Linked DNA regions of Mytilus edulis. Each later gene encodes a partner of the first gene's protein in a complex. Links are inferred from orthologs where the notes say so. Each region holds a gene or a part of one and is shown in the gene's direction. Other genes may lie near its edges. The genes, in order: mediator of RNA polymerase II transcription subunit 4-like, mediator of RNA polymerase II transcription subunit 31-B-like, mediator of RNA polymerase II transcription subunit 21-like and cyclin-dependent kinase 8-like.

The links.
Region 2: mediator of RNA polymerase II transcription subunit 4-like (region 1) and mediator of RNA polymerase II transcription subunit 31-B-like share a complex: the UniProt entries of both Caenorhabditis elegans proteins name them as parts of the mediator complex. The link is inferred for Mytilus edulis from reciprocal best matches to the Caenorhabditis elegans genes mdt-4 and mdt-31.
Region 3: mediator of RNA polymerase II transcription subunit 4-like (region 1) and mediator of RNA polymerase II transcription subunit 21-like share a complex: the UniProt entries of both Caenorhabditis elegans proteins name them as parts of the mediator complex. The link is inferred for Mytilus edulis from reciprocal best matches to the Caenorhabditis elegans genes mdt-4 and mdt-21.
Region 4: mediator of RNA polymerase II transcription subunit 4-like (region 1) and cyclin-dependent kinase 8-like share a complex: the UniProt entries of both Caenorhabditis elegans proteins name them as parts of the mediator complex. The link is inferred for Mytilus edulis from reciprocal best matches to the Caenorhabditis elegans genes mdt-4 and cdk-8.

Annotation. Positions count from the first base shown.
Region 1 is NC_092346.1:52,328,799-52,335,937, reverse strand, and holds the start of mediator of RNA polymerase II transcription subunit 4-like, read left to right. Parts: upstream 1-4,131; 5' UTR 4,132-4,232; coding exon 4,233-4,300; intron 4,301-7,139. Other genes in the region: eukaryotic translation initiation factor 4E type 2-like, read right to left, coding at 989-1,111, 1,521-1,614, 4,086-4,105. UniProt on the Caenorhabditis elegans protein: Component of the Mediator complex, a coactivator involved in the regulated transcription of nearly all RNA polymerase II-dependent genes.
Region 2 is NC_092349.1:27,276,510-27,284,467, forward strand, and holds mediator of RNA polymerase II transcription subunit 31-B-like, read left to right. Parts: upstream 1-4,951; 5' UTR 4,952-5,021; coding exon 5,022-5,055; intron 5,056-5,953; coding exon 5,954-6,028; intron 6,029-6,733; coding exon 6,734-6,830; intron 6,831-7,493; coding exon 7,494-7,689; 3' UTR 7,690-7,955; downstream 7,956-7,958. Other genes in the region: integrator complex subunit 2-like, read right to left, coding at 1-157, 552-682, 1,260-1,373, 2,506-2,608, 3,465-3,603, 4,574-4,860. UniProt on the Caenorhabditis elegans protein: Component of the Mediator complex, a coactivator involved in the regulated transcription of nearly all RNA polymerase II-dependent genes.
Region 3 is NC_092349.1:41,335,555-41,343,052, forward strand, and holds the start of mediator of RNA polymerase II transcription subunit 21-like, read left to right. Parts: upstream 1-4,474; 5' UTR 4,475-4,600; coding exon 4,601-4,642; intron 4,643-7,454; coding exon 7,455-7,498. UniProt on the Caenorhabditis elegans protein: Component of the Mediator complex, a coactivator involved in the regulated transcription of nearly all RNA polymerase II-dependent genes.
Region 4 is NC_092353.1:33,985,329-33,992,763, forward strand, and holds the start of cyclin-dependent kinase 8-like, read left to right. Parts: upstream 1-4,415; 5' UTR 4,416-4,484; coding exon 4,485-4,618; intron 4,619-7,086; coding exon 7,087-7,162; intron 7,163-7,435. UniProt on the Caenorhabditis elegans protein: Component of the Mediator complex, a coactivator involved in regulated gene transcription of nearly all RNA polymerase II-dependent genes.

The DNA of each region.
Region 1 (7,139 bases):
GCCTTTTTATAGCTTCCTACAGGATATGGTGACCTATAGTTATTTACAAACTCATCCTTTGTTCCCTGGTTGATTGTTGTCTCATAGGCAATTACCACATGTCCAGTGTTTTCCATTCGGCATTTAAGCAGGGTGTGCCAACCACCTTCTTTTGAAAGCCGACCACCTTTCAATTTTAGGAGGTGGTCGGCTTTTTTTTCAAAATCCGGATTTTTTTCGGTTCCGTACCGTTAAAATTTGAAAACTAATCCCGCCTTGTTTTCATTGACAAAGATGGCGTCCAATCGTCAAATTTCAATGTTTTCATTAATCAATCGGGGGGAAAAGAAAGGAAGATGACGATGATGATAAAGAAAATACTAGACCAAATAAGTTAAATAAAATTGATAGTAACGTTGAAGTTGTGGAAATTGAAAAAAAATCAACCAAACAACGGAAAAGACACGCAAGTGAAGACAAATATGAGCAAGACTTCAAATGACTTATAGTCACAGAGGAAGGATACTACTGTTCTTTGTGCCAAAAATACGGCACAAAAGCAAGAAACAGAACAGAAACCTGGATCGAAAGGCCTTAAATCCATGCTGATGCATAAAATTGTAAATGAAAGAAGAGATAAAAGAGATAAATTTTTGAAAAAATAAAATCAAAGAATATTGGACATTTATATGACTACCTCTATTTATGTTTGTTCAACTCCATAAAATGTGAATATTATACTAATCTTTATTTCTGTGACCCCCACGTGCACCCACAGTAAATTAAAAAAGGTTGGACATTTAAAAAAAAACCCACCCGGTTGCAAGTTATTTTTTTAAAACACCCACCTTACCTTAGTGAAAAAAGGAAAACACTGATGTCCTTATTTTCATACTGCTGAAAATAAATCTAGGTATTTCTATTAATATGGTAATGATTATTTTATACGCCAATACCTACAATAATAGCAGTAAAATAGTGCTGCATTGTTTTAAAGATGTTAACTTACTGATGCAAATGTCCCAACTAACTTTAAATTCTGATCATAACTTGCAGAAGATTTTCCTTGCGATTTCCGAGAAAACCATATTGCGTAGTTAAACTGTAATGGGTGTTCTCCAGGCCCTGGTCTCTGAAAGAAAATCCATCATTCATAGATATATATACATGTATGCTGTTATTTTGATTAAACCAGTCTGACAGAGTTTCCCATTCAAATTCAAATTATAAATATCACAACTATTCATCTTACATCAACTATGCATACATATACTTAATAAAATGTACTGAAACTGGATAAAAAAAAAATTATGACACAAATCATTTAAAAAAAAAAGTCAAAAAATTTCTTTCTGTTCAATTGAGTTTTTGTTTGTTTGTTTAAAACAATTTACTAATGTTGTTTAGCTGGACATTTTTTTTTAAGAAGAGACCATAATCTGATTTGTCTCTCTTTATAAAATATAAATTTTATCAAATTGTCAAAATGTAACCATGGTAACATTCCAATCGTTGTCATAAACTATCTTTTGAAGACTTACTGGTGAAGGTCGAACTTTAAATGGAGAATCTGTTTCTTCTTGTTCATTTTTCTGTTCTGTTTGATCATCCTCACCGCTATCCTCTTGTTTTAATCTACAATAAACAAATTAAGTCAAAATGGAAAGCCACCACTCATGTATCATACTTTTACTATGTATTTCAAAATCAGTTTCTAAACACAAATATGGCATAACTACAATACATCTCAACAAAAGACTGTAACAAAATTGACAAAAGTGCATTCAGAAATAAATAAGCCTGCTGTTGATATATATATCTACACTCATCCTTTATACATTTGTACTTGACATGCTCAGCCTCTTTATAATGATACATGTAGTAAGTTGGAGTTGAAATTGTTAGTGTAATTATACACCTTATCGCTATTTGTCCGCCATTACTGGATATCACACAGGTTCCCGTAAATTTTTGACGTCACAAAAACAAAATATCTGACGCCACAATGGAAAAGTGATTGTTGTATGCGTCAAAAGTTCAAGCGGCCGGGTCAGCCGGGATAAGCGATAAGGTGTATTCACCCACTGACAAAAATGTAAGATCCATTAACTGGTGTTATTCCAAAAAATACAAGATTGACTCACCACATATCAATGTTAAAGCCCATAATTGAGAATGTGATTGTCCTATGTAAAATATTTGTGTTTTTTTTCTTAGTAGATATAGGAAGATGTACATGTGGTGTGAGTGCCAATGAGACAACTCTCCATCCAAATAACAATTAAAAAAAAGTAAACCATTATAAGTCTCGTATATATTATAACAATTTGTTTTGATGGCATATCTTTGATAGTTTCTTTTTATAAATTTATTCACAGCTTAAAAAATAAAAACTTGGCATTGGGCTATTAATGCTATGGTTGATCACTGTACAGAGATCTCTAGGTGTTGATTATTTTTGTCGCTAGGTTGCGGTCTAATTGCTATCTACTCCGCATCTCTAAATTATTTAGATAAGTTAAATTTATTTCATTAACACTTTTGCTGCACTAGGGAAATATGTTATCTATAGATGTCCTTTGTCGACAGACCATTCTACATGTTCTAAAGACATATAGAGTGGGGTGCTCATTTTCGCCACATCTTTCCATGTTTTCTACAGTTTATGTTCAGGTCTAAATGTTTTTGAAGTATACTGATATTTCTATATGCAGATAACTTCAAATGCAAAATAAACTTAAGCTTGAACATGTTGAAAACCGGTTTGTTTTTAAAAAATCATCTGAAAAGTTAGATTAAAGGGTGTTTGAAATTTCCGGATGTTTTGTCAATGGGGGACACATATTCGCCGTTTTTACACATCTATTTAAAACCAAATAACCGCAGCTTTTAACAATTTTTATCAAATCAATTGCATTATAGATGAACAGCAGACATTTCAAAGGTATAAAGAATTCAAAATTAGGGCATTCAGTCAAATATTTACTTAGAAATACTTCTTTGAAATCGTGTTTTATTCAGGAAATATAAATTGTCCGAAAATCGTTGTCCGTTTTTCGGTCATTTTCGGTAGGAGCCGCAATTTTGTCTCAGTTTAAAAAAATATTATATTTGTTATAAAAATATAATTTACGGGTACATTTCTTCCATTTCAGCCATCCTTTGAAGTTTTTACACCTCAAAATCATTAAACGGCGAAATTGTGTCCCCGGCGAAAACGAGCACCCCACTCTATGTATGCTTCATTTGTATATACATGTATGACAAAGAAAGTTTTCAAGCTATAAACAAAAGAATTATTTCAAACTTGTACTACTTGAATAATTATACTTATAGCATATTATATATGTATAATTCATCTGAAATTGAATACAAACGATGTGTTGTCATACAATGTCATAGTGACAGATATGACATCTCAAAATTTTTAAAATGTTTTCTAAAATATTCATCGCGACATGAAACACACAACATTAATTCTGAAATGCACTTTATGGTGACACAGGCATAATTAATGACACAATGTATCATGCAAAACTTTAGTCCAAATAATTATGACGTCTTGAAAGGCTATTATATTATTTTTATTTGACGCCTTACTTCGACAAACTTGGGCTTGTTGTACATTGTACATGTCTGACAAAGCACTGGATTTATCTCAGCTTGAAAGGCTGTCCTACAATTTCATTCATTGTAACAGTAATGTAAATGTACAGTGCTAGCTTATCAGGATACTGTAAAGTCTAGGTCTGGTCTAAACAGCTGTTGACACATATTTTTGATTCAAAGTTGACTTTTTTTTTTTAAATTATACACACGAAGAAACAAAAGTACCATGGTCGGATTTTATGATACCTTAAAGAAAAATAATAATTGCAGTTTTCATTAGTTTCGCTAATAAATGTAACCTGTTCATCTTGGACTTGGTGACTATTCATAAGTTGCACGTGTTTGGGCAAATTGATGACGTCAAAATTATGCCTTTTGCCGAACAAAAATTGACCCTACGGAAAAATGTGTCAATGGATTGGCTAGGTGTCATGCGATTTACTTAAAGATCTTTAAATATAATTGGTCAATTATGAATGTATGCATGTTTTACGTACGCATCAAATTTGTTGTTCATGATGAGTTTGTTTTGATTTTATTGACATTCACTTCCGGTTTCCTTTTCTTGTATGTGAAAGTGTATTCGATTGGTTCATAAATGTTTCCTACTCTATCAGCATAATTTATTGGTCGAATAATTCAGCATGGCTTCCTCCATCAGCACCAAACAAAAACTTTTACAACAAATTGATGATGTTGAGTTGATATCTAAGTAATTTCACTAATAGTATTACTGTCATTTCACATATTTGAAACACCAAATGAAATGCATGGTCTAGACCATATAAAAATGACAACTTTAGTTTTTTTTCCTACCCAACTTGTGAAACCTGGAAAACTGCCATGACTGTTATTGTCTTTTCTGTCTGCACTAATTATATTAAAACAATAAAAGTGGAGGGGAAAAAGTGAAAGGGTTACCAATTTTAACAAGGATATTGCTGATCTTTATTATATAAATCCTTGATTTTACCACATACTGTAGACATTTAATTATTTTATTTACTAATCAGATGTTGTGAAGGATGCAGGTCGTTTTGTAGTCCTAATAATTATGACGTCTTGAAAGGCTATTATATTTTTTTTCTTTGACGGTTTCGTAACTAGTCGATTCCTAACTTACTAGGTTGTTTAGTACCTGTGATGTTTTGTAACCTAAGAAAACTGTTATATCAATATGTAGGACTCTAAAGTGCGATGGGGACGCTTAAGTGCGATGGTCACGCTAAAGTACGATGGTGTACGCTAAAGTGCGATGCCATGACACGATAAAGTGCATTTTTCCATGAATGCGTGTTTGTTCGCGAAAGTGTGAATGTTTGCATTATGACGCTTGAAGCCAATTTGAACATACAAAAATTGACATGCCGGTAAACAAGAATATTTGTGGCTCCCTATGAAGGTTTTTTACAAGACAAAAAAAAAGAGATATAAATGAAACAAAACACTTTTAGTAGGTGATATAGAAGACTGTATGCAGAGGATTTTTTTCCAACAAAATCACCCACCGTACAAAACCTTTCAACTCGCTGTGTTTTCCCATCAACATAGAAAACTGATGACAGTAAGGGGAAGGTGCTTACCGTAAAAGAGAGAAAAAGTCAAAATACACCAAGTGTCAAAGTATTTCAATTCGTTCAAATTTAATTTAGAAACTCCTTCTATGTTTATAATCGAACTTGCTTGGAATAAAAGCTACTTTTTAAATTTCTAATTGAGTTATTCTATAACCTGAATATTTTTGTACAATATGTATTGTCATGTCTGTGAAAGAGATGGATATTCATCAACAAGATAGTGACATACCAAGCAGTTATGAAGTATCATCATATGATTGCCGATGACACAAGTCTAGATCTAAACTGGAATCGTATGGCTAACCCAGCAGATAAATAGTAGATTTATGACTAAAGGTTTTCAGAACGACCATTGCAAAATAATTGATATGAGAAAAATAACGGACTGATTTATACAGAAAAAAATCAATTAACAAACAAAAAAACAAATAAGAAGATGCCAATGAAACAATTATTCACCAAACACAAAATGTTGCAGATGTGCGCACTTAATAACTTATGATCCAAGGCGTGGAGTATCGGCTCTAGTCGAATAGCTAGTTATATAAACCACACAATAACTCGTGTACAACAATTCAAAAGAGAAAAACAACGGCATAATTTATAAACAATATACAAAAACTAATATTAACACCGCAAAAAACAAAAGACATTGCCTGAACACCATTCCAGTTACACCATCGCACTTTAGCGTGGCATACCATCGCACTTTAGCATGTCATCTGATCTCATTTAAAAACAAACAACCATTGCACTTTAGCGTCTGACACCAATGCACTTTAGCGTAGACCATCGCACTTTAGCGTGACCATCGTACTTTAGAGTACCATCGCACTTTAGAGTCCTACAAATATATAATAATATGAGTCGTAGGTTACTAAAAAAATAATGAAAAGACCTATTGATGTACATATATATCTATATTTATTTATTAAATAATTGATTGCACATAATTTTACACTTTACAATTACAGTTTTGCACACATGCGATAGAACAGAAGAATTTAAATTGTCCATCATTTAGATGTACCCCGTCTTTGTCAAAGTATTTAGTCTTCTGCCACGTGCTTTGATGTCTCCAATACTTACACCACTCATCTTTATGTTGCCGACTTTCTTATATTAATATTTTTTTTTCTATCATAAGTTGTTTCTTTCATGTTTCTTGTTTTTTGTATATGGACCAACTGCTGCTGCTGCTCTGGTCAACTAAGACTTGTTTCATGTTTATACCAGGGTTTTTCAGATGAAAAATAAGGCTTTATGCCAGTATAACATGCAATCAAAGAACAACATAGTGATGTCTCTGAGAGAAAGTAAAAGGAATAGAGTAAAATAAGAGTTATAAAAAAATCAAATAAAAACTTTAACTCCGTCAACGCCGGTCCCAAGTCTGGGTGAAAAAGGAGGAGGGTTATGCATTGGCATGTTAAAGTGAGAAAAAAGTAGAAAATAATTATTTTTAGGTCGTGTGCCATAGGTCATGTGTCATTAATCAACTTAATCACTTTACACGTACCATAATTACTTTTTATTAACTGTCATTAGTTGTCATAAAAACATTAAAGCTGTCACTGAGCGTACCAATTAACCAATAATTTAAAAGATTTAAGAAAGTTTTAAATTAAAAACATTACAATATTGTTATTATTGGATGAACAATTTGATCATTTATAAATAATAACTTTAACTGTTTCATTTAAGGAGGTACCTAACACTTTAACTAAAATTAATTTGGCTCGTTTAATTTTCTTTAAATTTTGACAAAGTGTTTACTTTGACCCTTTGACAAAAATATAAGAAATTCAAAAAATTTGAACCAACCGTTTAATCAGAAAAATTACACTGGTTATATAGCAGTTTGACAAACACTTATTTTGATCAATGAGAAGCTTAATATTCCCATATGAACGCAACGTCATTAAAACGTTCTGCTGATTTTACAGAGTTATCTCCCTTTAGTGTTAGGTACCA
Region 2 (7,958 bases), on another chromosome or scaffold:
AGCTTCGAACATTCAAATTGTTGCTTAGCAACAACCCACACACAAAAGCAATAACATCAGCTGTTTTATCTTTGATATCCATGGCAACACCGTGATAATCTTTACTTGTCAACAATGTTAAGGCCACAGCTAAACCAGGCATTGTGCAATGTTCAACCTGAATTAAAAAAATATCACTGAGCTTCAGTAAGAGGTTATCTCAAAATGTGAACTGAGATTTAGTAGGAGGTTATCTCAAAATGTAAAGAAAGCTTTAGTAAGAGGTTATCTCAAAATGTATTCAGAGCTTTAGTAGAAGGTTATCTCAAAATATGAACAGAGCTTAATTAAGGGGTTATCTCAAAATATATCTAGATAATCTCTATCCAACATGTCCTTTTTGTCAACAGTAAAAAAAAAATCTATTTTTTATGATTTTGCTTGACACAATTTTCATGCTTCATGGTCAACTGTTTAAATCATCAATATGTAAGCAATTTTTACAGTAGACCTTATACAAGATACAATCAAACACTCAATATATCCTTAGTATAGACAGACAGATAACCTACACAAAGAGCCCTTATGTTTAACATTTCTCCAGGATTCATGGTACACAGATTCAACAAGACTTCCATTCTCCTTCTTCCACTCATTGATTCTTCGTCTTGTGTTTCTCCATTGGCCACCAGACTGGTACATACTACAAGAAAGGAATGGTAGAAATTGCTAATCGCACAAATGTCAATTAATGTTAAAAGATGTTTTAATTTTATTTGTTAACCACATTTTTGTATTTCTAAGTGTTATAATATACACTTAATTCTAAACATCATTTAATATTGATTGTCGTTTGAAACTCAGTGCTGTTCATATAGTGAATCTAAAAATATTTTCTTAGCTAAGAATTTTTTTTATCTAAAATTAGTTCTATGCTTTCAAAATCAATCTTTAAATAAATGAATAATTACAACAGTAAATGCATAAGACTTCTCCAACTCAAATTAAATCAAATGACTTGCGTCGGAAAGAATTTGATCTTATGCAAATGAATATCAATTCATCTGTTTACATATTTCAGGTTGAAAAAGTTTCTATGCAAATTATTATATCTGTAAAGGTTTAAAAATTGATTTGATATAAGAACCCCACAAAACAAACATTAATTCTATCTTTTATTTCATATTTCAATTTTCCAAAATCAATAAAAGTTTCATACAGGTACATGTTTACATGCAATTGCATAAGGTAGATTTCTGCCTGAGCAGCTTCAAATGTACCTTCTTTAAAGCTGTCTGGAGAGTTAGCCACCAGACGACACAACAACCAGCCTCCATTTGGTAAGTGTAACAATGTCTCAGCTACGTCTTTTATTTGAAGTAATGTAGGAAGCTCTACAAATATACAAAAAATTATTCTCTATTATCATTCTTATTTTGGTATTTGCAGTTCTTCAACAAGCAATGTACCTGCATTTGCTAAAAACAAGATATAAATCTATACTTCACTTGGAGTTGGATATTTTTGTGATTTTACTTTTTGTTACTTTTTTTTTTACATTTCATCTCATTATTTCTAATATGTAACACTTCTGTACTCGTACTCTGAAAAACAATTTATTACTGCTTACAACTATTCTATGTTTCATTTAATGTCATTTTGTCCCAGGTAAGGGTTGACTTATTGACATCTTCTTTATTACTAACTGTAAAGTCTGTGTTATACAGGGACCTATGTTTTAATATTGTATTTTTATTGTGTGAGGGTGTGTCAAAGATCAAACTAATTTGTTCAGTAAAATTGAGAATGGAAATGGTGAATGTGCCGAAGAGACAACAACCCGACCAGAGGGGAAACAACAGCTGAAGGTCACCAACAGGTCTTCAATGCAACCAGAAATTCTCGCACCCGGAGGCTTCCTTCAGCTGGCCCCTAAACAAATATATACTGGTTCAGTTCAGTGTATGCTTACTTGTTTTTGTTTAAATGTCTTTTTGATCAATTAAAGTCATTTCAATTGAATATTTTATAGCGTCCTTTTATGTTGTAATGTTACAAAATTGTCTCAGACAAGGGTGAAGGTTGGCACCAGTTTAAACATTTAAACATATTGCATTTTCAAGCACCTGTTTTTAGTCAGGAGTCTGTTGTTCAGTGGTTGTTGTGTGCCGTTGTGTTTCAAAGGTGTTTCTCCTTTCTCTTTTTAATATAAATCATAGTTGGTTTTCCTGTTTAAATTGTTTTACACTGGTCATTTTGGGGCCCTTAAATCTAAAATTTGCTGTTCAGAGTGAGCTAAGGTTCTGTATTTAAGGCTGTACTAAGACCTTAAATTGTACTTTTTAAACATTATGTCTTGGAAGGAGAGTTGTCTCATTTGCACTCATACCACATCTTCTTATCTCTATTACATAGATATAAAAAGAATTGGTATGAGTGCCAATAAGACAACTCTCCTTCCAAGTCACAATTTATAAAAGTAAGCCATAAGGTCAAAGTATGGTTTACAACGTTAATGTATATTACCTGCTTGTGCTATACACAATACATCAGATACTTCTTCAAGGTAAACAATGCTCTCCAGTAATTCTGATGACTTGAAATAAAATTCTGCCTTGTTTTCTTTCATCTGAAGCAATATAATATTGACATTGTAATAAAAGTATAATTTTTTTCATTATAAACGCTGGTTGCCAAACACAATAACATAGATCATGTAGATCTACTCTCATCATCATTTTTGAAGCAGAAACTAAACAAATCTGGTTTATATAGAAACTGCATTGTATTTCTTTATAAAACATAATTTAATTTTGGATGTAACGTGTCTTCTGATTGGCTGACGTTATTTTGTTATCAGCCCATAGACATAATTTAGTCATGTGATTGTGACGTCATCAACGTTTTTTCATGGTTTTCTACAGTTTAAAATGGAATTTAGAATTAAATTATAAGAAATGACTGTAATATTTTTTCTGTCTATTCGAAATAACCTAAAAAATGTGGTGCACACTGTTAAATAACCTGCTACGCGCGTTATTCAGTGTGTACCACATTTTTTATGTTATTTCTTCATAGACAGAAAAAATATTACAGTCATTCCTTAAATGTTAAAAATTGACAGTCTTCAACCCTCACTCAACAGTATATACTGGTATACTGCATATTCTTTATTATTCATTAAATACCATTTTTTGTGGATTTCGTGGGTACAGTTGAACTATGAAATTAAATTTTGTAAGAATGATAAATGTTCTTTATGCTTGTATGCAGACTTCGACAATACCATGAATTTTTAAAAACATCCACAAGTTTTCGTTAATGCATGAAAATTGATACCTCCCTCTGATTCTCATACATAATGTTGTTACTTAATTAAAACTTTTGATGTCTTTAATGAAGTTGAATATTCACAATAGAATAACATTGAAAATTCAATGTTGATTGTTTAACATGCTCAATTTACAAATGATAAGATAATTAACCTGTGATGCTACAAAGAGAAGTTCACTTAATAGCAGACGAATTCTACGAGCATGGTCACTTCTTTCAAACTCCATAGCAAGCCCACACTGTAACTGAGATATCAGGACACTGTCAGTCTGTGATGTACCAATCTTTGTCCTGCAAGGAATAAGGTAAAAAATTTAAGATTATTATCAAGGAAAAAAACAAATATGTCATCACTTCTGAAGGTATGGAGAGTTAATCTGGAAAACAATTTGCTCATCAATACTTACATGTACAATAACTCTTTTATCATGTTTATTGTGGGGACAAAAACTCCAATTGCAGCAGGAAAATCAATAATAAAAAAACATCAATGTACCTATGAACTCAAAATCATGAACTTTTTATTTTCCCGCATTTGTGCAGAAATGTCTTTCTTTCTTCTGGTCTCAATATTGTCATGAGACTGAATAAAATATACATGTATGTTAATTCATTTATTGTTATTGAGGAACATGAGGAAGGAGCAGAATAACAATTTTGTTTTTATTAATTCTTTGTATACAATGAAAATGAAGTCATAACTTAAATGATGCACAACTAAAATCCCTAACAGGGTTCTCGCTAAGGATTTTTGAAGGCGAGTCCAGGGACTCGTCATTTTTGGCCATGGTGAGTCCAACAGCAAGAAGAATATATTTTATTGCAATATAATGTAATATTTTATCCTCCATGGCCTAACAGAGCAATGAAATGACATTAAATTCAGATTACTTTTAAAACTTTTGCTATAAAATGATGATCATGATGATATTTGTGTTTTACTGTGTTCAATTTATACAAAATATTTCAATATTGATGCATCTTTGGACTCACTAGTTTTGAGAATGGTGAGTCCAAACAGATTTTGATGAGTCTAGGACTCATGGACTCGCTTTAGCGAGAACCCTGCCTAACAACAGGACCAACATAGGAAACTGTAAGATATTTTCGTTTCTTTTTGAACAGATTTTTAAATATGTTTGAAATAAAAAAAAATGATTAACTTTATCCTCTTTCACGGGTAATGCCTGCCTCATATTATTGCAACGTGATTGTAGCCAGTGCCTTACTCAGTAACTCACTACTGTTTTTAGGGGTGTACCTGAGCTGTTGTTCTTTTTTAACGTCTTGTTCTAAAGCATGGAAATCAATAGATAGCAATGCCACAATGCCATTCACAACTTCTATCCCAGATAAGATTTTTAAGACTTCTTTTTTAGCTTTTGTCCAGTTGGAGCTCTCATCAAGTGGTTTACACAAAGCCATTCTAACAAGACATGGAAGAACTGGACGCAAATCAAATTCCTTCGAATCACTCAGTGAAGAGATGTCAACATCTCGTACTGCTCTGAAGATTTCGGGTTTAACACTACACTTTAGATTCTGCATTGTTATTGCTAAACCTAAAAAAATGTAAAGGATTTACAAAAATTTTAAAAGTCAAAATTTTTTCATGGGGGCAGCCATTTTGCTTTCTCAACGTCAGTCTGACGCTTTGTTGTAATTGCGTTTCTTACAAGCGCGAAGAAGACATAGATCATATTTTTGTTATGGCTGCAGCTGCAAGACAGAATTCCTCCCATGGTAAAATAAGTGCTAATGTTGCTCTAGATAACAACAGACCCCAAAATAAATAGTTCCCCTCTAACCTTATAGTTCTGTCATGCATATTGTTGTTCATAAATACTTATCAATGCCAGAACAATATGAAAAGCAGTTTGAAGTGGATACAAAGCTTTTCACAACTCAAACAGCAAAAATACATTAATTCATTCAATAAATATATTTTATGACCCTGCCATAAGGTGGCTAAGGCTGTATAGTTCTACCCTTATCTGCCATTTGGTCATTCTACTACAAACAGTTATACACATACATGGGTCCAGCCTTTCTCCTAAACACCAAATAATTGGTCAGATCATATGTTATTGTATTCATATATGAGGGTGGTAATGGGGATACCTTCATGACGAATAACGATAAAATTCTAGCCAAATTTAAACGTAAAAGGTAATTTTAGATGCATGACGATATTAAAATGTATACTTTCTTTTAGGGGATAAAAAAATCGACTGATTTTGACGAATCACGTTAAATTTTTCTCAAAAATGACGGTAAGGATAATCATTTGACACCATTGACGAATCACGGTTCACCATAAGGATATTTTGACGATTCACTGTAAAATTTTAACCAATTTGACGCTAACGGTAGCTGGAATTGAACATTTGACGCCTGATGGTAAAGGCCATTACTACCCTTATATGTAGTTTTTCTTACAAGGAGAGACAAGATGGAATAGAACGTAAATTATAGCAAGATCAGCTGAGCAAGATGTTTCCAGAAAGAAATTTTTTTATAAATGGGGTCATGAGGATTGACATGATTGAATTTACAAAGAATGGAAATCATCTTTTGGGGAAAACACTGAATATCATTAAGAATGCTGTATCTTTTAAATAAAAAATAATTTCTTTTTCAGAAGCAGATGAAAGAGTGAGATTTCAGACAGAGTTAGAATTTGTACAATGTTTGGCTAATCCGAATTACCTTAATTGTGAGTATACAATGACAGTAAAAAACCAATTCTAATTGAGAATGTGTCTTTGGGACAGATGATGCCCCATACTTGCATATAACATTGTAAAGTGACATACATCCACAACTGTTAAAGTGACAACACCTATATTCTTAAGTTAGAGAACGGAAACAAACTTAGGTATGTATCGATGAGCAAGGGCAACACTGAATGTCAAATGTAAAACCTTTTTAGGTTGGATGACATCTACTGTTAATATTAATTTGTAACTGTTAATATTCTATGTTAGATGCTCAGTCATTTGCAACAAAACTGCCCAGATGACAATAATTAGATATCTCAAAAGTTTATTTTTAACATGAAGATATATTTTTTTATATTACATGAAGGAATACACACTGACGATTTGCCACTGATTTAAATACATGTAATACAAGCTTGGCTACAATTTGAAAAAAGTTTGTTTGCATAGCAAAAGAACTTTTGTCCTGCAATGTACGTGCCACCAAAACTGGCAAAGACCCCTTAAAGAGTCATGAGAGTTGTTACAAGAATTCTTTAATTTTCAGTTATTATTTTCTCTCCCAATATGAGCCATGTAATTTTTTTATCATTGATTTATTAAGATTGCAATTGCATATTTTATCCTTGTTATGTGTTGTGTGAACAGTTTTAAGTTAACAGAGCTGTAAAAATATACTGTTCAATTTTATTTTTTTATAGTTTTAGCACAGAGAGGATTCTTCAAAGATCAGACATTTATCAACTACCTTAAATACCTGCAATACTGGAAAGAACCTAAATATGCTAAATACCTCAAGTAAGTTTGTACAAAAATGTACAATAGTGAATTTTTGTAGGAATCTTGTTATACTGTAGATTCATTTATTTTTGTGTATTCCAATTTTTGTGGATTTTTATGTGTTCCAATTTTTGTGGATTTTTTTATGTGTTCCAATTTTTGTGGATTAAGAAAATCTTGCATTTTCGTGGCTATTTGATATCGTGATTTTGCCAATACAATGTACATCCTTATACATGTTATAGAAAATCTGTAATTCTTTGAACATTTATACTTGTGGTTTATCTGTACCCACGAAATCTTCAAAAATTAGTACCCCACAAAAAAACAATATATCCACAGTAGTAGATATTTTACGAAAAAAAAAATAATTATAAATTCAACAGAAAAAAATTGTTCTCATTATGACCTGACATTTACTTGCTCAATGCAGGATATGAATGAGATTTTCATTTCCAGAAGTTGACAGATATGCCTTGTACAGTACACACAAGGAGTTGCAAATTCTTTATGACGTTATGTTAAATGTTCATGTTACAAGTTGACAAATAAACACTGTATGAGTTATGATACACCAAGCAATATCTGCTTTAAAGATTAAGACTTTCCCATTGTATAACTAGTTTGTAATTATCTCTTGCAATATTTAATTTGTTTTCATTATTTTTATTTCATTTTCAGATATCCCCAATGTTTACATTTATTGGAGCTGCTACAATATGAACACTTTAGAAAAGAATTAGTGAATTCACAATGTGCTAAGTTTATAGACGATCAGCAACTCTTACATTGGCAGCATTATCAGAGGAAACGCATGAAGTTATTGATCGATGAAGCGGAACGACACAAACAAGATCAAAAAGATAAAACTAGCTGACACAGCAATAATAAATGTGTTGATTTAAAATTAATCGGTCAGAGATATTCTCTGAATTGTAATGGCAGCTATGTGGATGGTCAAAATTATTGTCATCTCTTAAACATCCAAAACGAACATTTTTATGTGTAAAATTTTTCCGAGGTTGATACTTGTCATAGACGTAACATGTACATGATGTATTTAGCAGGAAATTTTTTCATCTCTGTTCATAGTTTTTAGGCAGTTTTATAAACTGTATAAAATAAAGAGATGTTGTATAGAGATAT
Region 3 (7,498 bases), on another chromosome or scaffold:
ATTAAAAATAAAAATAATGAAAAAATATAGGGTAGGAGGTCGAAAAAAAATTAAAAATAAAAATTGGAATTAATACTGGTTTTTTTTACCAAAAAAGGAGAGAAACAAACAATGACATTACTCTATATAATAGTATTATACTAACCATGTATGCAGATCGTTTCATAATTTGGTATTAATTCTTGCTGTTAAAGTGTTTTAATTTAAATTAAATGTGTTACAAGGAGTCCAATGTCAATGTAGTTGCGGAACCGTAGCTCTTAGGTCCTTATGTTATTTTTTGACTATTTGCGGACCATAGAGCTACGGATTTTTCCTATTTCAAAACGTTCGGAATTGCGACCCAGGTTCAGGTCGCACTTATTTCTCAAAAAAATATTGTTTATATATAATCCATGCAAAACTTGTCAATATATATAGTTCGATTCGTTAGATATTTTTCTAGGATATGACGTACCTATTTATGTTTGAATATTCATTTCCTTAACACTATTATCTAATTATTTCCATTTGTATACATTCTCCGCCTATTTTATTCGACCATATTGAATCTCGTTGTAAAAATATCTAACGAAACGAACTATACATATATTGACAAGTTTTGCATGGATTATAAACAATATTTTTTGGAGAAAAAAGTGGGACCTGAACCTGGGTCGCAATTCCGAACGTTTTGAAATAGGAAAAATCCGTAGCTCTATGGTCCGCAAATAGTCAAAAAATAACATAAGGACCTAAGAGCTACAGTTCCGCAGCTAATGTCAATGTAGATTGATGAAAGCAGATATATATATATATGTCCCTGATGAAAGGGAAGCGTCTTTTCCAATTGCATTTCTCTTTGTTCTGTGTATTTATTTATCAAATTTAGATCAGGGAGTGACAAAATTCCTCATAACACAATACAATCTTATTGAGGAAATACCATATGTGCTCTGCATGTCATATGCCTTCATATGTGGTACATGTACATGAAAACATGTCCTTTTAAGGCTTTTTATGCTATTTTACACTGTTTAATAAGTATTAGCTTATATTTCGAAGTATCCTGTGATTGTCCCTTTTCATAAATGTCGAAGTGATTTTAATTGTCAGGCATTCTATGACAGTAATACATGTTCTCATTTTGTGTTGGGATCTTGTTCACCATATCCCACCTCTGTTCCATTAAATCTCAATGGGTACCGTGGGAGGGTATTTAGGTATTTATATAATAAGGCCAATTAATCAGACACCCATCCCTGGCAGCAAGTTAAAAGATCCTTCCCTTTAGTGATGTCTGGCAAGGCTATATAAAAACAAATCTGGGATGCCATGAAGCCTTGCCAGACGTCATAATTATTTGGACTAGTACCTCATATGTGTAATGGAACTAAAACAGCCCCTTTCAATAGGTTTCAGACTTTCTGATCAACACTTGAACCAAAGTTGACCCACCGTCAACCTCACTGACTGTCTGAAACAGGGGTTCAAATTAGCGGTGGTCCAATTAAACCAAAATTCCCTAACGATCTCAAAAATAATTATCATTTTTATTATTCATGACTGCGATGTTCATTTTGTTCAACCGCTAGATTTACACCGAAAATATCCAACAATTAATGTGTAAGTATTTGTAAAATCGTATCTGGTCCTCCGTTTTCAACTGGTTCCTTTTCACCTCATTAGATCATGATGAAACGTTGACTGAACAGGGAACCGCCTTTCAACTGGTTCCTTTTCACCACATTAGATCATGATGAAACGTTGACTGAACAGGGAACCGCAAGGGATTTTCGAATCCACTCCGAGGGTATTCCGACTGGAAGAAGAAAGACTGATCTTTCTTATCATGTTTTATTTTTATTTGTACTTCTTCAAACAGAAAAGGGTCGGCGGAATTACAAAAAAATCTTCAAAATCGTTTTTATTTTTATTTTGATATTGTGAAAAACAGGGTTGGCGGATCCGTAAAACAACAAATAAAAAAAAAGTGGCCTTATGTAGGGTTGATGATTTTATTGGTAAGATGCATGTTTGTAAAAACTATCATGCAAATTTTGCATCTTAAGCATCTGACATTCCTTGTGGCAGCAAGTGTCACCCATGGCAAGTGTACCAAAATAGGGATTTATATAGACAATTAAATAAATACTTAATTTCAATCAATTAAATGTTCGCTTATTCACTTTATTCATTTAATTGTAATAATATTTATTTGTTAAAAGTCAATAAAAGATTAGTTCGCCTAAAATAAACCCATACTAATCCAAATGCATTTATGATCCAGCTCTTACTGGACCGTACAATTGCAGTCCAAATACTTGTATGATCTGGAACATAAATAAAGTATATTTGCTATTCACTAACAACTTCCAAGTTTCTTCTCCACGGCAATCACTTTTATATTATAATGAGAGCCTCTATCAACACAAAAATTATTGTCCTGTCCTAGAGTATTCTTATGAAAATTATATTCAAGGTGAAAACCGGAAGCTCGAGTCTTGTATGACTTTAAAGTTGGTCTGATGACAGAAATAATGTCCAGATATCTTTATATTCGTTTTTCTCCCAAAATAAACCTAACTAGATAATCATAAGAATAGATGACAAATGCGACTATACTTGGTACATTTACCTAAAGAACACATGATGATTAATTTATTCATTATTGTAGAAGGAAGAGAAAGGGCACTCGAAAAACTACACCATTATTAGGCACAATTTTTTTCTTATCAAGACGAAAGGTTCAACTATTTACATTATTGATAAAAAAGTGGGGTTCATTATTTAAATTTATCTGCCATTTTTTCTATTTAACAAGTCTGAAGTCTATAGACCCTTCGCATAAATTTTAAAAAGACGTTTGTTTTTTTTTCTTAAAAATCTTTTTTTTTTTTTCAAGTAAATAAATTTTTTTGTCGTTAATTTTTTTCTTCTTGTTGCTAATTACTAATTAGCGAGACCGCAAATTAGTCAATACGAAGATGAATATTTTTTTCATGCTTGAATTTTGAAGAAAAAAAATAAATGCAAACACTTTGTCCCCTTTCCCTGCTAACACATATTTCAGACTAACGAAAAACAGGCCAAATCAGTTTATAGACTTGCACGTGTTTCAATGCCAAAGGATGAAATATTTTACAACCACGTGGTCAACCAAAAATGATATGGTAAAACTTTTCAGAAGAGCTGTGGTGTTTTTGAATTGCTAAAATGTGTAGAATTTTTAGTTTTCTCATGACCTAAATGTTTTTCAGTTTGTTAAGAAGAAATATTCATGTATACTTTTAAGTCTTTCAGACACGAAACTGTGAACAACTTCTTTGATCAAGTAAAATGGTTGAAAGGAAGAGCTTTGGTTTCTGGGTAATAAAGAAAGCTTGGTACAACTAAAATCCAATGCTGAATACATTAGTTAATAGAGAAGGAACGTACATTTTTATGCTCGGTTTTTTTTTAAGTAAGTAATTAGACCAGTGTATGTAAAGTGCGGATACTAAAATACCATTTTCACTGTCTATGCCATGCATTTCTGATGTAGAATGGTATATAAATAGACGAAAACATTATGATTTTTGAAGAAAATGAAGAAAATTGTTCACATGTACTATATTTAGTAATAAAACTTAAGAATAAGTTACACGAAACCCCACCAAAACTGGGGGGTGATCTTAGGTGCTCCGGAAGGGTAAGCAGATCCTGCTGTATATGTGGCACCCGTCGTGTTGATTAGGTAGCAATACACAGTTAGGAGTTTAGTTTCGCATTTTGGCCCCTGTGAATTTTTCAAATAGGAAAGTTATTGTGTAATAAAATTCATTTTTAGACAGATGAGTGCTAATTTAGCCTTCAAAGATGGTTTATAAGACCATCAAGATTATTTTTTACATGTTTTATGGGCTGTTTTCTGTTTGACAATCCGTATTTTCATAGCTAGACCGGCCATCGGTCCAGAAATTAATGTACTGTTTACAAACACTGTTTTTCTACACGAAGTTTTTGACGCAATTTTACAAAAAAATGAGACGAAAGACATATGATTTTCATTGGATTTGCTGAATGATATATGTACACAGTTTCAGAAAAGGTACTACTTCAAGTGATTGAAATTCTACTTTTAGCCAAATTTTGGGGAAATATGTGACATCTTTCCCCCCCTTTTTGCAATATTTTATAACAAATAAATGCAGATTGTTGCCATGGATACACCAAAAAGAAAATATATTTTACCATTTTATATACTGGATATATAATCTATGGAAGGTTCTGATTACATACATATGCCCATATATGACACAAACAGTAAGCTTGATATTGCAAGAAAGCAATGAAAAGGGGATGGTAAAATTCATAAGGGCAAATTTTAGTATTTTTTCCTAACTGTTTATTGCTACCTTATGTTATTACAAGCCCGGTGAATAGTCTACTATTCTGTATAAAGTGTAAATAACGTTAATTGTTGTACAATGTTGTATGAAGATATTTGTTGGTTATTACTCAGCCCTTTGTAAAAGGTCAAGGTTTAAACTGCTATTGCTAGAAATTTTGACACTTTTGTATCCAGTTAACACAAATAATGCTTATATAGGATTTATACTAAACTTGTGGCAGATTTGAAATGGCAGACAGACTGACACAGCTACAGGATGCTGTAAATCAAGTAAAACGAAACAGATAATTTTAGTTTAACGTTAATGTTCATTCACATGGGATAGTAAACCCGGCAAATAGTAACACCGGTGGTTCATCATGAAGAATACCTTTTTGTATCAAATGATTAATCGTGTTGGTATAAACATATTAATATGAAAGTATTATCCTATAGGTAGAAGAAAATAAGACGTGCTTCAAATGCAAAGATTACCATATGTACATGTAATGTATGCTACTCGCTTGAGATGGAAAATTATCGCTAGAAACTAAGCATGCACGTGGCTTTGCTAATGAAATTGACATGAAATTGACAACGTCGTCATAGGTAAAATAGCGATAAAAAGTTTATCGTTGACCGATTATCTATAATTATAGCTTAATTAACGTTAAAACAATTTTCCACTAAAAATGAATGTTACTTTATTCAAATATAAGGACTTTGTTAGCTAAACCTACTAATTTTATTAGATATTATGATTTTTTAAGACAATAGATAAACATGCTATCATATGTATTTGTACATTGTACAAACGTCAAAAGAATTTGAACTAGGTATGCCTTTTATTTGGAAATTGTTACGTCACATTGCAATTTTAATAGCACAAAGACTCATAAGACTAGGATGCACCAACTGGTTATCAGCTTTGTTAGAGTCTATCAAAATGTACCTCTGTCATATTTGTTTTTCGTAAACTGTTTTATTGTAAATTAAGCTATTATTCTTCTCAATTGATTTGCTTCATATTTTTCAAGTCAGGACCTTTTGTAGACGACCACACAGTATGGGTTTTTATACGACCGCAAAAATTTTAATTTTTCGTCGTATATTGCTATCACGTTGGCGTCGTCGTCTTGCATCGTCGTCTTCGTCCGAATACTTTTAGTTTTCACACTCTAACTTTTGTAAAAGTGAATAGAAATCTATGAAATTTTAACACAAGGTTTATTACCACAAAAGGAAGGTTGGGATTGATTTTGAAAGTTTTGGTCCCAATATTTTAGGAATTAGGGGCCAAAAAGGGCCCAAATAAGCATTTTCTTGGTTTTCGCACTATAACTTTAGTTTACGTAAATTGAAATCTATGAAATTTTGACACAAGGTTTATGACCACAAAATGAAGGTTGGGATTGATCCCAACAGTTTAGGAATTAGGGGCCAAAAAAGGGCCCAAATAAGCATTATTCTTGGTTTTCGTACAATAACTTTAGTATAAGTAAATAGAAATCAATGAAATTTAAACACAAGTTTTATGAACACAAAAGGAAGGTTGGGATTGATTTTGGGAGTTTTGGTCCCAACAGTTTAGGAATTAGGGGCCAAAAAGGGGGCCAAATAAGCATTATTCTTGGTTTTCGCACCATAACTTTAGTATAAGTAAATAGAAATCTATGAAATTTAAACACAAGGTTTGTGACCATAAAAGGAAGGTTGGGTTTCATTTTTGGAGGTTTGATCCTAACAGTTTAGGAATTAAGGGGCCCAAAGGGTCCAAAATTGAACTTTGTTTGATTTCATCAAAAATTGAATAATTGGGGTTCTTTGATATGCCGAATCTAACTGTGTATGTAGATTCTTAATTTTTGGTCCCGTTTTCAAATTGGTCTTCATTAAGGTCCAAAGGGTCCAAAATTGAATTCTTGAGCTTTTTTGATATGCGGAATCTAAACATGTACTTAGATTTTTAATTATAGTTTTCAAGTTGGTTCAAATCAGGATCCAAAACTATTATATGAAGTATTGTGCAATAGCAAGAAATTTTCAATTGCACAGTATTCAGCAATAGCAAGAAATCTTCAATTGCACAGTTTTGCGCAATAGCAAGAAATCTTCAATTGCACAGTATTGTCAATTTGTGCAATAGCAAATATTTTCAATTGCACAGTATTGCGCAATAGCAAGAAATATCTAATTGCACAATATTGTGCAATAGCAAGAAATTTTCAATTGATTGGAGTTATCTTTCTTTGTCCAGAATAGTAGTTGAATCAACTTAAATCATTGTTTTATACAATATACAATGTATATTCACTTTTACTACCAACTGATAAATTAAAACAATCTTTACCATTCAGTGATAACAAGCACTTTATTTTACATTTTAATATTTTATGATGTATTTAAATGAGTAGTTATTGTTGCAAACTTCATTAGGAATTTGAATTGAGATCAGTTTTGGAAAAAGGGAAAGGGGGATGTGAAAAAAAAATTGGGGGGGGGGGGGGGGTAAATTTTTCTCATTTCAGATTTCATAAATAAAAAGAAAATTTCTTCAAACATTTTTTTGAGAGGATTAATATTCAACAGCATAGTGAATTGCTCAAAGGCAAAAAAAATATTTTAAGTTCATTAGACCACATTCATTCTGTGTCAGAAACCTATGCTGTGTCAACTATTTAATCACAATCCAAATTAAGAGCTGAATCCAGCTTAAATGTTGTGTCCATACTTGCCCCAACTGTTCAGGGTTCAACCTCTGCGGTCGTATATAGCTGCGCCCTGCGGAGCATCTGGTTCTCATTGTTGACGGCTGTAGGTTGCCTATAATTGCTTACATCCACTTCATTTGACTTTCTTAATAATTAAATGGAAAAATCGATTGTAGGTGCCCTTATGTGAATAACATTTGCCAGATTTTTATCAAAATTATATCAAATGTTAAAATATTTGTGAAAAGTTTGAATAAACAAAAGTGTTGTTTTTTTCAGATAAAATATCTGCAACTCAGTGGAAATTGGAACTCTGTTTTTTTTCTTTGTATTAGATATAAAAAAAAATTCTAAATTTGCATTAAATATTTATGAAAATTTTCTATTTGCAGATGGCTGATCATTTTTGCAACAGTGTAGGAATTTTACAACAGTA
Region 4 (7,435 bases), on another chromosome or scaffold:
ACGAAGCTACACAATCATATCAATAAAAATTGGTGTAAATGATCTTTACTATGCCTAGAATAAAATGTGTGAATATGTTCCCTGTCGAATAGACTCGGGGGCGGATCCAGCCATTCTAAAAAGGGTGGGTTCCTAACCCAGGACAAACGGGGGGGGGGGGGGGGGTCCAATTACATGTCCCCATTCAAATGCATTGATCGTCCTAAAAAAAGGGGGGTTCCACCCCCCGGAACCCCCCCCCCCCCCTCTGGATCCGCGCCTGAGACTTTACAATAGTTACCGACCAGAGTTCAGAGTTTCAAATGACACTATGATTATCCTGAACATGCATGACACATTCGCCACCGGACGCAATAAATACGTCCATGCACCCAGATTCGACGAAAGAATCGGTTGGTAAGAAACCGTACGCATTTAGTTGTACTTATACCGAGTGTTTTCTATAAAAAAAAATAGCTCTATGTGTACAGTTCTTTTTTTCTAAATGCTATCTTATATATGCTTACAAGTTGTTTTTTTAAACTTTTCTATCATCTCAACAGCTGCTTTCATGTGTACCAGGCTACTTTTCCCCAACCTTCTTCTCGGAAGGCGGCCTACTTAACAGGACCTGCCCACTATATGTATGGTTGATTTGTAAACGTCCCAGCTGTACCTGCTTGAAATATTTGTCACTGAATGTTAAGTGTATTAGACAGTTGCCCATGGAAGGTGTTTGCCACATGCAAAACTGTTTGATATTGGTCAAACATTGCTATCTGATCATTGTGAACTTTTTTCAAACATTTAACAAACGAAGCTACACAATCATATCAATAAAAATTGGTGTAAATGATCTTTACTATGCCTAGAATAAAATGTGTGAATATGTTCCCTGTCGAATAGACTCGGGGGCGGATCCAGCCATTCTAAAAAGGGTGGGTTCCTAACCCAGGGCAAAGGGGGGGTCCAATTACATGTCCCCATTCAAATGCATTGATCGTCCTAAAAAAAAGGGGGGTTCCACCCCCCGGAACCCCCCCCCCCCCCCTCTGGATCCGCGCCTGAGACTTTACAATAGTTACCGACCAGAGTTCAGAGTTTCAAATGACACTATGATTATCCTGAACATGCATGACACATTCGCCACCGGACGCAATAAATACGTCCATGCACCCAGATTCGACGAAAGAATCGGTTGGTAAGAAACCGTACGCATTTAGTTGTACTAATACCGAGTGTTTTCTATAAAAAAAAAAATAGCTCTATGTGTACAGTTCTTTTTTTCTAAATGCTATCTTATATATGCTTACAAGTTGTTTTTTTAAACTTTTCTATCATCTCAACAGCTGCTTTCATGTGTACCAGGCTACTTTTCCCCAACCTTCTTCTCGGAAGGCGGCCTACTTAACAGGACCTGCCCACTATATGTATGGTTGATTTGTAAACGTCCCAGCTGTACCTGCTTGAAATATTTGTCACTGAATGTTAAGTGTATTAGACAGTTGCCCATGGAAGGTGTTTGCCACATGCAAAACTGTTTGATATTGGTCAAACATTGCTATCTGATCATTTGTTAGAGACCTGTTTTATCGGTATTTGCTTCAGTGATAAAATTGAGAATGGAAATGGGGAATGTGTCAAAGAGACAACAACCCGACCAAATAAAAAACAACAGTAGAGGGTCACCAACAGGTCTTCAATGTAGCGAGAAATTTCCGCACCCGGAGGCGTCCTTCAGCTGGCCCCTAAACAAATATATACTAGTCCAGTGATAATGAACGCCATACTAATTTCCAAATTGTACACAAGGAACTAAAATTAAAATAATACAAGACTAACAAAGGCCAGAGGCTCCTGGCTTGGGACAGGCGCAAAAATGCGGCGGGGTTAAACATGTTTGTGAGATCTCAACCCTCCCCCTATACCTCTAACCAATGTAGAAAAGTAAACGCATAACAATACGCACATTAAAAATCAGTTCAAGAGAAGTCCGAGTCTGATGTCAGAAGATGTAACCAAAGAAAATAAAAAAAATGACAATAATACATAAATAAAAACAGACTACTAGCAGTTAACTGACATGCCAGCTCCAGACTTCAATTAAACTGACTGAAAGATTATGATTTCATCATATGAACATCAGGCACAATCCTTCCCGTTAGGGGTTTAGTATCATACCATCATAACATATATGAGAAGAACATAACCCGTGTCATGCCAACAACTGTTTTTAGAATAAATGTGTTTAGTTCCGATGCAAAGACCTTATCAGTGACTCAATATTAACTCCAAAATATGCAATCTTTAATGACTTGACAACAGTATCGTAATTATATCCCTTCTTAATAAGTCTATTCAAAGGTTTTGTAAGTTTCTGAGGTTAATACTGACACCTTTGTGCTTTATAAAGAATATTTCCATAAAAAATTGGATGTGAAATACCTGAACGTATTAGAAGTCTGCATGTTGAGCTATATTTACGAATGATGTCTTTATACCGATGATAAAATTTAGTAAATGTTTTGACTAGTTTGTGATATCGAAAACCCTGGTGTAATAGTTTTTCAGTAATACATAAATTTCTCTCGTTAAAATCTAAAACATTGTTACATACACGAGCGAATCGTACAAGTTGAGATATATAAACACCGTAAGATGGTGACAAGGGAACGTCACCATCTAAAAACGGATAATTAACGATAGGAAATGAAAAATCATCCCTTCTATCATAAATTTTAGTATTCAGCTTTCCATTAGTGATATAGATATCAAGATGAATGACTGGGGTACTATGGATGGGATTATCCTCACTTTCTGTATCCTATTAATTGTTTGGTTATTTTTCTGTATTCTTTTCTTCAGTTTGCTCATTATTCTTTATTCTATATGGTTTTGCAACGGCAGGGTATGGGCTCGGGAACATGTTACTTCGTTGCTCATTATTCTTTATTCTATATGGTTTTGCAACGGCAGGGTATGGGCTCGGGAACATGTTACTTCGTTATGTGTGTATTTTAGTCTAGACGCCATGCATCTAATTAACTATCGAGTTGACCTCCGGAGACCTCAGACCGATATAAACATAATATAGATATAGATAGAAACTAGCTCGTGCATTTGTATTTTTCTAGGTCTCTTTAACTTAATATTGTACATTAAAAATATATGTTAATCATCGTTTTATATTTGTACGGTACCTGTATAAAAAGGATATTTTGTGGATCGAATCAGTCAACGTCAAATGGTCAGTTTACTTTTGTTTCACTTTCAACGTTGGCATTATTTTCCTTTAAATACTCAAAACGCACAATTTATGCGTTATCCATCTCTAGCTGAAGTTCACATAAATACGGATTCCGTGAATGAAGTCGAATTATTCCATGACTTTGGCAACGGCTGAGATAAACAAGATAATTATTCATCATCAATGTTTCTCAGCTTATTTTGACAAAATTGAAACATACTGGCCGCTAAAGGCGAATTATTATTTCACTATTAAAATGATTAATTGAACAAAAATAAATCATATTTTTTTTTTTATATATATCTCGTAGCTATAGTGTTCCTAACTCGAATAATTCAAGCCCTTTCCGTGTCCGATTTTCTCCCACACGAGGGCTTGAACTCTTTGTGATCATTGGCCGCGTCGCCTGCTCTCTGTGAGAGAGAGCCAATCAGCGGCGATCAGGATATGAGTCTGCGCAACTCTCTTGAAATTGCCTTACCACACACGTGTGTTCAATTAACACAAATCCGATAATAATTAATTAACATCAATTAACATCATTTATCATCAATTAACATCCGGAACTCCTCCTTCTTTAGCTGCCAATTTAAATAAAAATTCCCATATTGCAAAGCGGTGTGGATTTTCCGGTTGACGGTCTTGATCGAGGAAGACGTTCAGGCGTTAATGTAGCCTTCGTAGATCAGCGGAATATAACGACTGAATTATTCGGGTTATAGTGTTCCTTTAAATAAACTCATCATAGATACCAGGACTAAATTTAGTATATACGCCAGACGCGCGTTTCGTCTACAAAAGACTCATCAGTGACGCTCGAATCCAAAAAAGTTAAAAAAAAAAAAAAAAAAAAAAAAAAGGCCAAATATTATAAACATGATAAAGTACGAAGTTGAAGAGCATTGAGGACCGAAATTCATAAAAGTTTTGCCAAATACAGCTAAAGGTAATCTATGCCTGAGGTAGAAAAGCCTTAGTACAAAAATTCCAAAAATTGTAAACAGTAAATTTATAAATATAACCATATCAATGACAATTCATGTCAGCACAAAAAGTACTGACTACTGGGCTTGTGATACACTCGGAGAAATAAATCTCCACCAGCAGTGGCGTTGCCAGTGTTGAAAACCCGGAATAGTTGAGTGGTTCCGTGAATGTTCTGTAATTAGATCGTATTGATCATCAACACGCTTTTAACAACGGAATTTTATTTATTAAGCATCTTTAGGAAAATAAATATTTTGGAGCCGTCAAAGAAATGGATTTTGAATATAAGCAGAAAACCAATGCAGAAAGAGCAAAAGTCGAGGACCTTTTCGATTACGAAGGATGCAAAGTTGGACGAGGAACATATGGACATGTGTATAAAGGCAAAAGGAAGAACAGGTTAAAGTGTGTTTGAAGCATATGTCTCGCACACTAAATCGTCGATTTTATATTTTTTAAGAGTTATTTCTTTATTTCTTAGCAGTCTGCACGGTTAGCCACTAGTCCGATACCCCAGACTAGTAAAATTTTATTCGGACTAGTAAGTTTTGCAAAAATTTGTTTGGACCAACAAGAAAAATGTCAGGATATTGGTCTTCGGACTAGTAGTTGAAAAAGTTTTTGGTGCAGACTGTCTTAGTATTTCTTGCCATCACGCATTATAGACGTATAGATAAATTCATAATACGTGTCTTTTTTTGAAGAATGATAAGAATTCCTTATTGTTTTTCTATTTTTGTACAATTATTTGAGTATTGACTATATGTCAATGGCAATCTACATTTGTACAATGTCATGAATGTATATAAATTTAATGATTTGTTATGTTATATGTCTATGATCAGGTGTGGTACCTTCATGACAAATAACGGTAATAGTTCTTGACAAATGTTGTAAACTGTAAAATGATAATAAAATATATATATATGGACTTTCTTTTAGTCGATAAAAACATCGAAAGATTTTGACAAATCATTAATCACGTTAAATTTTTCCAAAAATAAAAGTAACATTTTATAATTATAAAAAGACCTCTGACAAATCAGGATAAGAGGATTTTGACAAATCACTGTAAAATTTCAATCACTTTGACACTAATTTACAGACAGTAAAGGGCATTTATTATTACCCTCATGACAGTCATCAGATTATATACAATATATTCAAAGATTTGTATAGTAAACTATACTAATCTTTGATGTAGCTGTAGAACCGTAGCTCTTTTAAATATAAAAAAAGAAGATGTGGTATGATTGCCAATGAAACAACTCTCCACAAGAGACCAAAATGACACAGAAATTACAGACTATACAGTCTTCAACAATGAACAAAGCCCATACCACATAGTCAGCTTTAAAAGACTCCGAAATAACAATGTAAAACAATTCAAATTTACAAATTGTAGACCATCCATCTTAAAATTGTTTAAAAATATCAAAAAGATATTAGAGAAGGTCGTAAAGGGGGTACATTTTTACCTTATTGGTGAATAACAGTAAAAAAAAATTGCCAAATGATGTCAACAGTAATGTTTGATGCATGACAATCAAAAATATGCTTTCTTTAAGACAATAAAAAAAAATGACTGATTTTGATAAATTACATTAAATTTAGATACTATCTTATTTACATGTAGGATCTTTGACGTATCATGATAGGGATGATTTGACAAATTATGGTAAAAGTTTATCAATTTGACAAATGATGGTAAACTTTTTACCAATTTGACAAATGATGGTAAAAGTTTATCAATTTGACAAATGATGGTAAAAGTTTATCAATTTGACTCTAAAGGTAGCTGAAAGTGACTGTTTGACACCTGACTTTAGAGGGCATTCCTACCCTCTTAAGATTACGGTTCCACATCTATGAGATAATTATTGTGAAATTGTTGTGTAGTTTGAGTACAGGGAACATTGTATTTATAATATACATTTGTACCTTAATGAAACAATTTTACAATAACTTCCCATTAGAGATTGTATGTACATGTACAAAAAAAATGTATATGAAACCGTACACCCTTAAAAATTACAATTTATCATTCAATTGAATGCAATGTGTTTTCAGGTCAACTTTCAATTACATGTTAATGTAATTTGATTAAATTTTACATTTGGAGAAATGTGTGTTTTTCCAAAATTGTTTCAATTAGGCCAACTCAATGTCGCCTCTCAGAAACTATTTATGATTATCAAATGATTATTGAATAAAACTTCACACACAAGATGACAGGTGTATCATGTGCTCGTGGAGCAGCTGTTTATTTTTTTCTTATCATAACTTCCAGTCTGTGCCAAACTGTTTTAGGGTTTGTCTGACTGAAAAAGAAATTTGAATTTTTCTTCTATATATATTCAACCAAAATCTCCAAAAAATTCTGTCTGACCGAATGATTTCTTGTCTGACATTTTGTTGGATAGACAGAGTTTGGGATACACTGAACTTCACATATTCAGCTAATTTTTAGCATGTATAAGTCTATTTATTCAACATGCAGAAATCTTATACATTCGGGTATATCATTTTAATTTTTTATGGTAATATTTTTTATAAAGCACAAAAATATCAGCATTCATCTCAAAAGCTTACCAAAAAATTAAATTTTTACAATTTCTAAAAATGACTTCTTGATTTTTTTGCGAACAGGCCCATATGTGTCATTCAAATACATCTAGTCTTTGCTACGTACTATACTATGAGTGAGAATGTTGTATGAGATTTTATTACATATTGAAGGATTTAAAAAAAACCACTAAATTTAATATCATTTGTGTGGTTGAGAGAAAAACTTCTGCAATGTTCATGTTTTTAGGTATAAATTTTGAAATAGCTTTTTCGGATCCAAAGTATTTCTCTGATTTGAATTTCAGCACTGATGGAAGAGAATATGCCTTAAAGCAGATAGAAGGTACAGGAATTTCTATGTCAGCATGTAGAGAAATAGCTGTAAGTATAATGCTAGTTTCCACTATATATCTACTGTACACAATCTATTAGGGAAGTTATTTCTTTCCTGAACTTCATAGCAGAATCTATAATGATCCAGAGGCGGATTAAGAGCAAGGCCATTCTTTTTATGGAAAAAACTTGGTGGATAATATAGGGAATCACTGAAGCATCAAAATCTATTCAAAAGAGAAAACTAACAGCCTGATATTTAATACAAAAATAAATGTTATTGACAATTATTGCAAAAATTAAGCACCTACAACCACTGGA